Macaca fascicularis: one gene and its partners. The protein of the gene in region 1 interacts with the protein of each later gene in a biochemical or structural test. Links are inferred from orthologs where the notes say so. Each region holds a gene or a part of one and is shown in the gene's direction. Other genes may lie near its edges.

Region 1 (3,657 bases):
AAACAATTTTGAAGTAGAAGAACAAAGAGGAATTACTACCTGATTTCTGGATTTACTGTAAAGCTCGATAATGATCACAATTTGGTACTGGTGTAAGGATAGATGTATCGATGAATGGAACAGATTATGGAGTTTAGAAAGGAACATGCACTTAATATGGTTAATTGATTTAAAAAAAAAAAAAGGTGCCCAAGTAATTCAGTTGGAAAAAGGCAATCCATTTAACAGATGGTGCAGGAAAAATCGGGAATCCATTTACCAAAAAGTTAATCTCAGCCCTTACCTCCTCACTCTGTATACAAAATTAACTTGAAATGTAGCATAGTCCTAAATGTAAAAGTTGAAGTATAAAACCTCTAAAAGAAAATGTCCAAAGGAATTATTGTGACCTTGGGCAGACTTCTCAGTACATAAAAAGCACAAATCATTTTTTTTAATGATAAATCAGGCTTTATCAAAATTTAAACCTTCTGCTATTTAGAAGACAATGTTAAGAAAATGAGAAGACAAGTCACAGATTGGCAAAACAGGTCTGATACAGGGTGTTTGTGCAAAATATATAAGAACTTTTGCAACTCAATAAGACAACCTAATTTTTTTTAAAAATGGCCAGAAGATTTGAACAGACACTTCCCCAAAGAAGATAAAAGAATGGCACACAAGCACATGAAAAGATGTCAGCATCAACAGGGATATACAAATTAAACGCAGTAAGATACTACTACACATCCACTAGTATAGCTAAGACTGACAATATTAAGTGGTGACAAAGATGTAGATCAACTAGAAATCTCATACATTGCTGATTGGAATGCAAAATGGTATAGCTATTTTGAAAAACAGTTTGACAATTGTCTGGAAAGTTAAGGGTATACTTTCTGTACAATGAAGCAATCCTTCTGCTAATTATTTACCCAAGAGGTATGAAAATTTGTCCACACCAGAGGCCTGAATGTGAATGTTGATAGCAGTTTTATTTATAATAGACATAAACTGGAAACAACCCCAAAGCTCATTAATTGGTAAATGAATAAACAAATGGTGGTACATTCATACAGTGGAATACTACTCATCAGTAAAAAGGAACAACTTCTAACACCTGTAGCAGTAACAGTGGGTGAATTTCAGAAGTATTTTATGCTACATGAAGGAAGTCAGACACAAAAGGCTACACTCCTGCCTCAGCCTCCCAAGTAGTTGGGATTAAGGCATGCGCCACCACACCCAGCTAATTTTTGTATTTTTTTTTTAGTAGAGGCGGGGTTTCACCATGTTGGCCAGGCTGGTCTTGAACTCCTGACTTCAGGTGATCCCCCCGCCTCGGCCTCCCAAAGTGCTGGGATTACAGGCATGAGCCACCACGCCCAGCCAAAAAGTGAAAATTTTTTTACGTGATTAAAATGTTCTGAATTTTTTTTTTTTTTTTTTTTTTGAGACGGAGTCTCGCTTTCTAACCCAGGCTGGAGTGCAGTGGCCGGATCTCAGCTCACTGCAAGCTTCGCCTCCCGGGTTCACGCCATTCTCCTGCCTCAGCCTCCCGAGTAGCTGGGACTACAGGCACCCGCCACCTCGCCCGGCTAGTTTTTTTGTATTTTTTAGTAGAAACGGGGTTTCACCGTGTTAGCCAGGATGGTCTCGATCTCCTGACCTCGTGATCCGCCCGTCTCGGCTTCCCAAAGTGCTGGGATTACAGGCTTGAGCCACCGCGCCCGGCCAAACGTTCTGTATTTTAATTGTGGTATTGGTGATTACATGATATAGATTTGTCAAAGGCTTGTTGTACTTTTCTCAAAAAGGGTACATTTTATGTAAATTATAAAATCTTGACTTAAAAACTTACAGGCTGAGGCAGGCAGATCACTTGAGGTCAGGAGTTCGAAACCAGTCTGGCTAACATGTTGAAACCCCATCTCTACTAAAAATACAAAAATTAGCTGGACGTGGTGGCAGATGCCTGTAATCCCAGCTACTCGGGAGGCTGAGGCAGGAAATCGCTTGAACTGGGGAGGCAGAGGTTGCAGTGAGCTGAGATTGGCTGCTGCACTCCAGCCTGGGCAACAGAGTGAGACTCTGTCTCAAAAAAAACAACAAAATTTACAAAAGGATTCTGTAATAAATGATACATAAAGTCACTTTAACTTTGCACTAAATCTAGTTCATTTTAGAAGCATTTCCAACTTGGAACACAATGTTCTTTTTAATGTAGAATGATCACTAACGCTTCTGAAAATGAAAGATAACAATCCATATACATCTTTTATTTAACAAATATGAAAGTTCTTCTGATATTGTCCCAAATAGATACCTGTATTCTGTGAGCAGGGGATGGATTTCAAGCAAATATATACGTAAATAAGAATAAAGTTATGATTGTGTGAAGTGCAGCAACTGAGAGGTTTTGTGTGCTATGAAGGTGTTTAAGTGAGAAAATAGCACTCTAAGTAAAGGGAACTGGACATTCAAAAAGACCCAGAGACAGGAATAAGCTTGAGTGAATTCTAAAAGTTGACATAAATCAAACAGGAGGTTTGTGGCTGGGTGGTCACAGCGAATAATGGGGTCAAGCCAGATCTTGCAGGGTCTTATAGATGGGATTTTTAAGATCTTTAACTGTCATTTGGACTTTGCTGCATAATAAACCATCCCAAAAACTTAGTGCCGTGAAGCACAAAGATTATTTCTCATTCTGTGAGTCTGCGGGGCAGTTCATTTGTTGGACTTGCTCAGCTAGAGCTAGGTAGTATAGTTCACACGCATGGCCAACCGTTCATGCTGCCATTATTTGTTGTTCACAGGGTTACCAAAGCAGCAGGAAAGGGCAAGCCCCAGTCCACAAACATTTGTCAGGTCTTTGCTTGCATCACGTTCGCTGTTGTTCTTTTATCCAAAGCAGGTCATATGGCCTAAGCCCTGAGTCTGCGGGCCAGGAGTACCCATGGCTGTGTGCACTGGGAGGGGAATTATTATGACCATTTTTGCCATTAGCCACACTGAATAATCTGTTTATAATTTCAGAATACATTGTAAATTGTTTCATACTTTAAAGTACATTATGGCTGAGCATGGTGGCTCACACCTGTAATCCCAGCATTTTGGGAGGCCAAGGTGGGCGGATCACCTGAGGTCAGGAGTTCAAGACCAGCCTGGTTAACATGGCTAAACCCCATCTTTACTAAAAATACAAAAAAATTAGCTGGATGTGGTGGTGGGTGCCTGTCATTCCAGCTACTTGGGAGGCTGAGGCAGGAGAATCACTTGAAACTAGAAGGTGAAGGTTGCAGTGAGCCGAGATCAGGCCACTGCACTCCAGCCTGGGTGATAGAGCGAGATTCCATCCAAAAAAAAAAAAAAGTACATTATAAGTTTTTAACTCGAACTGGTTGGGTATACCATGCTTTTTGATGAGATGGACTATCCCTTTGCCAGTCTTAATGGGTTTCTTTCATCAAGAGCTCAAACCTTTTACTTTTTTCTATAAAGGTTCAGCGAACTATTGCCAAACAGATTCAGATGGTCCGGCAAGTTGGTAAAGGCCGATATGGAGAAGTATGGATGGGTAAATGGCGTGGCGAAAAAGTGGCGGTGAAAGTATTCTTTACCACTGAAGAAGCCAGCTGGTTTCGAGAAACAGAAATCTACCAAACTGTGCTAATGCGC
Region 2 (2,438 bases), on another chromosome or scaffold:
GCTATATCAAAGCCTTTTCTGCTGGGTTTTCTGCCCGTTTTTTTCAAAGCACCTACTGAATTTAATATTACAGCTGTGTGTTTGTCGGGTTTATTCAATAGGGGCCTTGTAATCCGATCTGAATGTTTCCTAGCGGATGTTTCTTTTCCAAAGTAAATCTGAGTTATTAATCCACCAGCATCATTACTGTGTTGGAATTTATTTTCCCCTCTGTAACATGATCAACAAGGCATGCTCTGTGTTTCCAAGATCGCTGGGGAAATGTTTAGTAACATACTCAATAGTGGAAGAGGGAGAAGGTGGTTGTGTGCATGTTTCCTCCTGCCTGTGCTCTGTTGGCCCCTCTTTTTCTTTACAACCACTTGTAAAGAAAACTGTGGACACAAAACCAAGGGGGGGTTTTAAAAGAGGAGTCTGATGGTGGTGCCCTAGAGGAGTTGGCACATGGAAATTATTAGACATGTCAAGGAGGCTGGGAGGTAGTTTCTGTCTTTGGTGCTTGAGAAATGCTAGCTACATTTTGCTGGTTTGCTAGCTGCCCCACTTATCTGCTCCTTCAAATTAAGGGGTATGCTTATTTCCCCCCAGTAGGTTTTCCCTGCATAAGCAGAATTCACCATTCATCGCCCAACCCTGAGCTCTCTCTTGACTCTTCCATCTTTGAAAAAAGTTCATGTGCTTTTTCTTTTCCCCTTCCTTCCTAACTGTGCCTAGAACATCTGGAGAACATCCCAGGGACCAGTGAAAACTCTGCTTTTCGTTTCCTCTTTAACCTCAGCAGCATCCCAGAGAACGAGGTGATCTCCTCTGCAGAGCTTCGGCTCTTCCGGGAGCAGGTGGACCAGGGCCCTGATTGGGAACGGGGCTTCCACCGTATAAACATTTATGAGGTTATGAAGCCCCCAGCAGAAGTGGTGCCTGGGCACCTCATCACACGACTACTGGACACGAGACTGGTCCACCACAATGTGACACGGTGGGAAACTTTTGATGTGAGCCCTGCGGTCCTTCGCTGGACCCGGGAGAAGCAGCCAAACTATGGGCTGGCCATTGAGGTGACTCACCTCCATCAGACTCGGACCCACCAGGGCCAGCATGTCAGGATTAGCCGATCGTTACCTCAAGGGAGTGGGAATTGGGCCCAGCTCCGGCCCCTCCTGGTCACCTTTGGCCATGATGGCCGGGGCCATGCCTTGACCCGACGCCGGAGGGCCAAGCGTAGTCCTAAGCATCACCCACAGCGGGCCCGGAAGAAGAATAAGAACTGCCGGCGCCACTCGCTCTATGTGGACTTCAGCGATGTGGGCTGGAATGACTGGATTGTGGCCCCACCAGGCTACCAGGCCTTCTACTGCCATGGGGACTGCCCCTTTCCACTGGCTGACCACCTCAACTCAACCAACCATGCCATTGTGCAGACCCTGGTCAATTCTGTCAATTCCAGTATCCCCAAAGCCTGTTGTGTGCCCACTGAACTGAGTGCCATCTCCATGCTGTACCTGGATGAGTATGATAAAGTGGTACTGAAAAATTATCAGGAGATGGTAGTAGAGGGATGTGGGTGCCGCTGAGATCAGGCAGTCCTTGAGGATAGACAGACAGACAGATATACACAACACACACACACACCACACACATACACACACACATTCTCATCCACTCACCCACACACTACACAGACTGCTTCCTTATAGCTGGACTTTTATTTTAAAAAAAAAAAAAAAAAAAGGAAGAAAACCCTAAACATTCACCTTGACCTTATTTATGACTTTACGTGCAAATGTTTTGACCATATTGATCATATATTTTGACAAAATATATTTATAACTACATATTAAAAGAAAAAATAAAATGAGTCATTATTTTAAAGGTAAATCATGGCTTTTTTTCTCTTTAATCCTCTCTCTTTTCCTTTGGGCTCATCTCTTTTGAATGAGGCTTTTTTCTGTTGAGGTGAGTTGGAGGCTGGATGGAAGTCAAAAGGTGGTACCTGGAGGTGGTTAAGTTGTAGGGACAGGAAGTAAACTGTTCACAGAGAGAGATGGTAATTGCCAGCATGAATTGTTTTCCATTTCTATTTAATGTTAACAAGGACACAGTATCCTCTCCCATCTGGATGACACATGCCTTGGAGAAATACTGGGATGAAAGGAGTGTAGGTCAGATTAAAGACTTCATTTTGGGCCCCTTGTACATCTTCTGTTTCACTCACCTGTTGAGGCGTATCACAGCTGAGTGTGATGAGGTCTTAACTCTAGAAAAATGATTACCCACCTCTGCTTTTATGATACCTCAGAGTATCTCCAGTTATTACAGGCACCAATGTGATATTTCCAAATCAGAACTAATTTGCACACTCACATCATAATGTGTGTGTGAAGGCATGTTTAAAAAAATTTTTTTTCTCTCCAGGGAGGACTCTTTTGTTTTTGTCTTTT
Region 3 (3,657 bases), on another chromosome or scaffold:
TGCTCTACTTTTCCCAGCAGGTTGGACGCAAAATCATGCTCTTGTCGTTCAGGATGACCATGGGGGCCGTGGGGTCTGAGCCCGTGACCCTCCAGTCTGCAGTGTGTCAGTGCAGAAGGAGCAGTTGTCACTGGGGTCACTGGCAACAGGAATGCCTCCATCTAGCTTAGGCAAGATGCTTGAACTCAGAGCCTGAGAGTGAAACCCAGACACTAATAAGCTGTCGGTGTTGGTGTGTGTTCTCTTCCTCTTCCAGTGGAACATGACAAGGAATTCTTCCACCCACGCTACCACCATCGAGAGTTCCGGTTTGATCTTTCCAAGATCCCAGAAGGGGAAGCTGTCACAGCAGCCGAATTCCGGATCTACAAGGACTACATCCGGGAACGCTTCGACAATGAGACGTTCCGGATCAGCGTTTATCAGGTGCTCCAGGAGCACTTGGGCAGGTGGGTGCTGTATGAGTATCTGGGAGAGGTGCTGAGTTTCCTCTGGGGGCAGAGGAAAAAGGGGGTGATGGCCAGAGGATGGGACAGATTGGTGCAGCCACGTTCCAGGTCCTGTACCAGATTATCCCTTCTAAAGAAGGTGTATGGTGTATGTCACTTTCTTAAAACCATGACCAACAACGAATTCAGGAATAGTAGAAGGCCAGGGAGCCCGAGGATGCATGGTGCCATATGGGTATATATAGGCAGTCTGGATCTGTCTGGGTGCTAAGGGACATAGAAGAAAAGGGGAAGGGGAAGAAACATTTTTGAAGGGCTACCTCTCTCCCATTCCTTACTCTGAAACCCAGCGCACAATGTCAGGCAACCAATTAAGGTGGCCATCTAAAATAAAATGTTAGGGGAAGAAAAAAGCCCAAACCAAAAATAAACAGAGAACTCTTAGCTTCCAAGAATCACTAGCTCAGAAACCAAACGTGTGTGTTGAAAGTCTTTAATTTATCGAGATGCATTAATTTAAAGGTCTTGTGAGAGGTAAGGAGGCTAAGAAAAAGGGCTGGGACATTTAGCAGGTGCATTCTATTCAGACAGTCCGGAGGCGGAAATGACCAAGGTCCTATTACTTAGTGGCTGGGTTACTGGACCCCTCAGGCTGTCAGACGTCTACCGTCCACACTGGGCAGGGAAATTAATGGAAGAAAGGTGTTGTGGGCACCTCCTTGTGATGTGCAGGCCTAGCATCTTCAGCTAGAAAGGGGACTTGTTACCATAGACAGGGACAGAAGAACCATCACAGCCACATTTGCCAAGCACTGCTATTTGGCGGGGGCGGGGGGATGGTCATCTAAGTACCAAGAAAACAAAACTGTCTTGAGCGTTTCCAGTGTGTTGCACTTGAGATATCTTGTTTCACATTCACAGTAGCCTTCAGAAGTGGTGGCTCATCTGTAAAACGGGGAGAACTAAAGTGGCCCGAAGCCAAAGAATGAGGCCACCCAGAGAGAACGTGGCCACGTTAGGACATGAGCCCAGGTTTGCAAAGCTGGAGCCCACGCTTATGAACGATATTTCTTTCAAAAATTTGTTTTTAGGCTGGGTGTGGTAGCTCACGCCTGTAATCCCAGCACTTTGGAAGGCCAAGGTGGGTGGATCATTTGAGGTCAGGAGTTCAAGACCAGCCTGGCCAACCCCAGTAGAGATGGTGAAACCCCGTCTCTACTAAAAATATAAAAATTAGCCAGGTATAGTGGCACGTGCCTGTAATCCCAGCTACTTGGGAGGCTGAGGTAGGAGAATTGCTTGAACCCAGGAGGAGAAGGTTGCAGTGAGCCGAGATGGTGCCACTGCACTCCAGCCTGGGTAACAGAGCGAGACTCTGTCTCAAAAAAAAAAAAAAAAAAAAAAAAAAAAAAAAAAAAAAGGGTTTTTGAGTAAGCAAGACATGGTCATGGTATAAAATCAAAAGGAAAGAGAAGGAACCACAGTGAAAATGAAGGCTCCCAGCTCCTGCTGAGGCAGCTCCTGCTGCCAGTTACTTGAGTCTCCTGAAATCAGCGAAGGGATCTGTGTTGCTGTTTTCACCTGTGGCACCCCACAGTACATTCACTCCTGCCCCTGGCTTTCATCGTTGGATGATGAACCTTGGCAGCCCTTTCCAGTGGGTCACGCAGGGTGCCCTCGTCCTCTGAGTCACCTCACTGTTCCACAGCGTGGGGTGTGCTGTCTTTCATGTGTGCACGCTGGCCCCTCTGTTCTATGATGGATGGTGCCGCAGGGCAGGTACCCTCGCTGACACACCTGTTCATGTCTATCAGTCCGATAAAGTTCTAGAGGTAGAATTGTGGGGTCAGAGAGCCCACACGTGGGTGGCTTTGGTAGACACTGCTGAGCAGCTCTCCTGGGAGGTGACATCGGCATCTACTCCCAGCAGCCAGGGAGCTTCTTTCTTAGGGTGAAACCACAGCCTCTGCGTCCAGGCTGTTATCTGGATTCTCCACTCAGCTCTGGCAGCTCTTGGTCCTTCCTGCTGGCTTCATGGGTACCTGGTCCCATCATGGTCTGAGGTGTCTCTGCTGTCTTGCCTGAGATCCACGGGGTGGATCCTGAGGGCTGCAGGGTTGGGCAGCAGGCCTGAGCAGTGTGTTTGGAGCAGGGATGGGCGTTCCAGGCGTCCTCCCTGCCAGGCTGCTGGCAACAAGCAACTTGGGCTGGGGATGCCCATTCTGGTGCTGGGGTCCTGCTCCTGGGGGCTTCTGGGCTGCTGGGTGGCTGAGTCCCCGCTCAGCACAGGTACCTGCTGCATGCCATGCCTGAGGGCATCGACCAGAACGAACTAGACATGAGTCCCTGCCCTCTGGAAGCTCACGTTCCAGCAGAGGAGAGGACATGGCAGGTGGGAGCATTGAGCAGGGAAGGGAGCAGGGTGAGAAGCAGTGGAGGGAAAGACCGAGCTGCTTTCTTTAGGTTTCTACATGTTCTTCCTGTGCCTCCTGCAGCAAAGCCTCCATTCTTCAGACGTTAAATGGTTAAATTAAAAAAAATATTATTTATTCATTTTTTTGGACAGGTGGTTTTGTTTTTGAATCTAGAACCAAGATACCCCTATTATGTAGTTCCCAGCTATTGAGAGCATGGATTCAAATCCTGCCACCAGGTGCCCGTGTGACCTTGGGAAAGAGTCACCTCTCACAGCCTCAGTTTTTTCCTTTGTAAAATGGGGATAATAACTGGATCTCCCTTCCAGAGTTGTGCTGTGGATGGAAGGGGGTGACATACTTACAACAGTGTCTCACACACAGGAAGTGCTCAATAAATGGTCACCTGCGTTAGTATCATCGTCATCATGGCAGGAAGTGGAGCAAGACCTCCCTGGGAAGATAAGAGCCCTGGGTGGTGGCTGTGGCACTGCCTTCCTGTGTATGTCCACTGAGCCAGTTCCCCTAATTCTGCAGTCTCCCAGTGGGAACAAAGCCCTGAGCTGGAAAATGCTCTTTGAATCCCGTACGCTTCTGCCAGCTCGCCTGTTCAGAGATGGGGCTATTCTTTGCGTGTCCCCAACCTGGGCCCGCACGGCTTCTTCCAGCTGAAGGCCTCCTGCAGATCTCAGCCCAGGGGAGCCCAGACCCTGCCCTGCTGCCCCCGCCGTGTGGCTGCCTCGGTCTCTGTGCCGCCAGCCGTCCAGCTGTGCAGGGCTGGGACATCTGACAAG

The links.
Region 2: the proteins of BMPR1A (region 1) and BMP4 form a complex in vitro, tested with the Homo sapiens proteins (3 studies listed by BioGRID and IntAct, with this or other methods). The link is inferred for Macaca fascicularis from reciprocal best matches to the Homo sapiens genes BMPR1A and BMP4.
Region 3: the proteins of BMPR1A (region 1) and BMP7 form a complex in vitro, tested with the Homo sapiens proteins (2 studies listed by BioGRID). The link is inferred for Macaca fascicularis from reciprocal best matches to the Homo sapiens genes BMPR1A and BMP7.

What each region holds. Positions count from the first base shown.
Region 1 is NC_088383.1:59,723,461-59,727,117, reverse strand, and holds part of BMPR1A (bone morphogenetic protein receptor type-1A), read left to right. Parts: intron 1-3,480; coding exon 3,481-3,657. UniProt on the Homo sapiens protein: On ligand binding, forms a receptor complex consisting of two type II and two type I transmembrane serine/threonine kinases.
Region 2 is NC_088381.1:121,790,021-121,792,458, reverse strand, and holds the end of BMP4 (bone morphogenetic protein 4), read left to right. Parts: intron 1-714; coding exon 715-1,571; 3' UTR 1,572-1,875; downstream 1,876-2,438.
Region 3 is NC_088384.1:113,278,633-113,282,289, reverse strand, and holds part of BMP7 (bone morphogenetic protein 7), read left to right. Parts: intron 1-256; coding exon 257-449; intron 450-3,657. UniProt on the Homo sapiens protein: Growth factor of the TGF-beta superfamily that plays important role in various biological processes, including embryogenesis, hematopoiesis, neurogenesis and skeletal morphogenesis.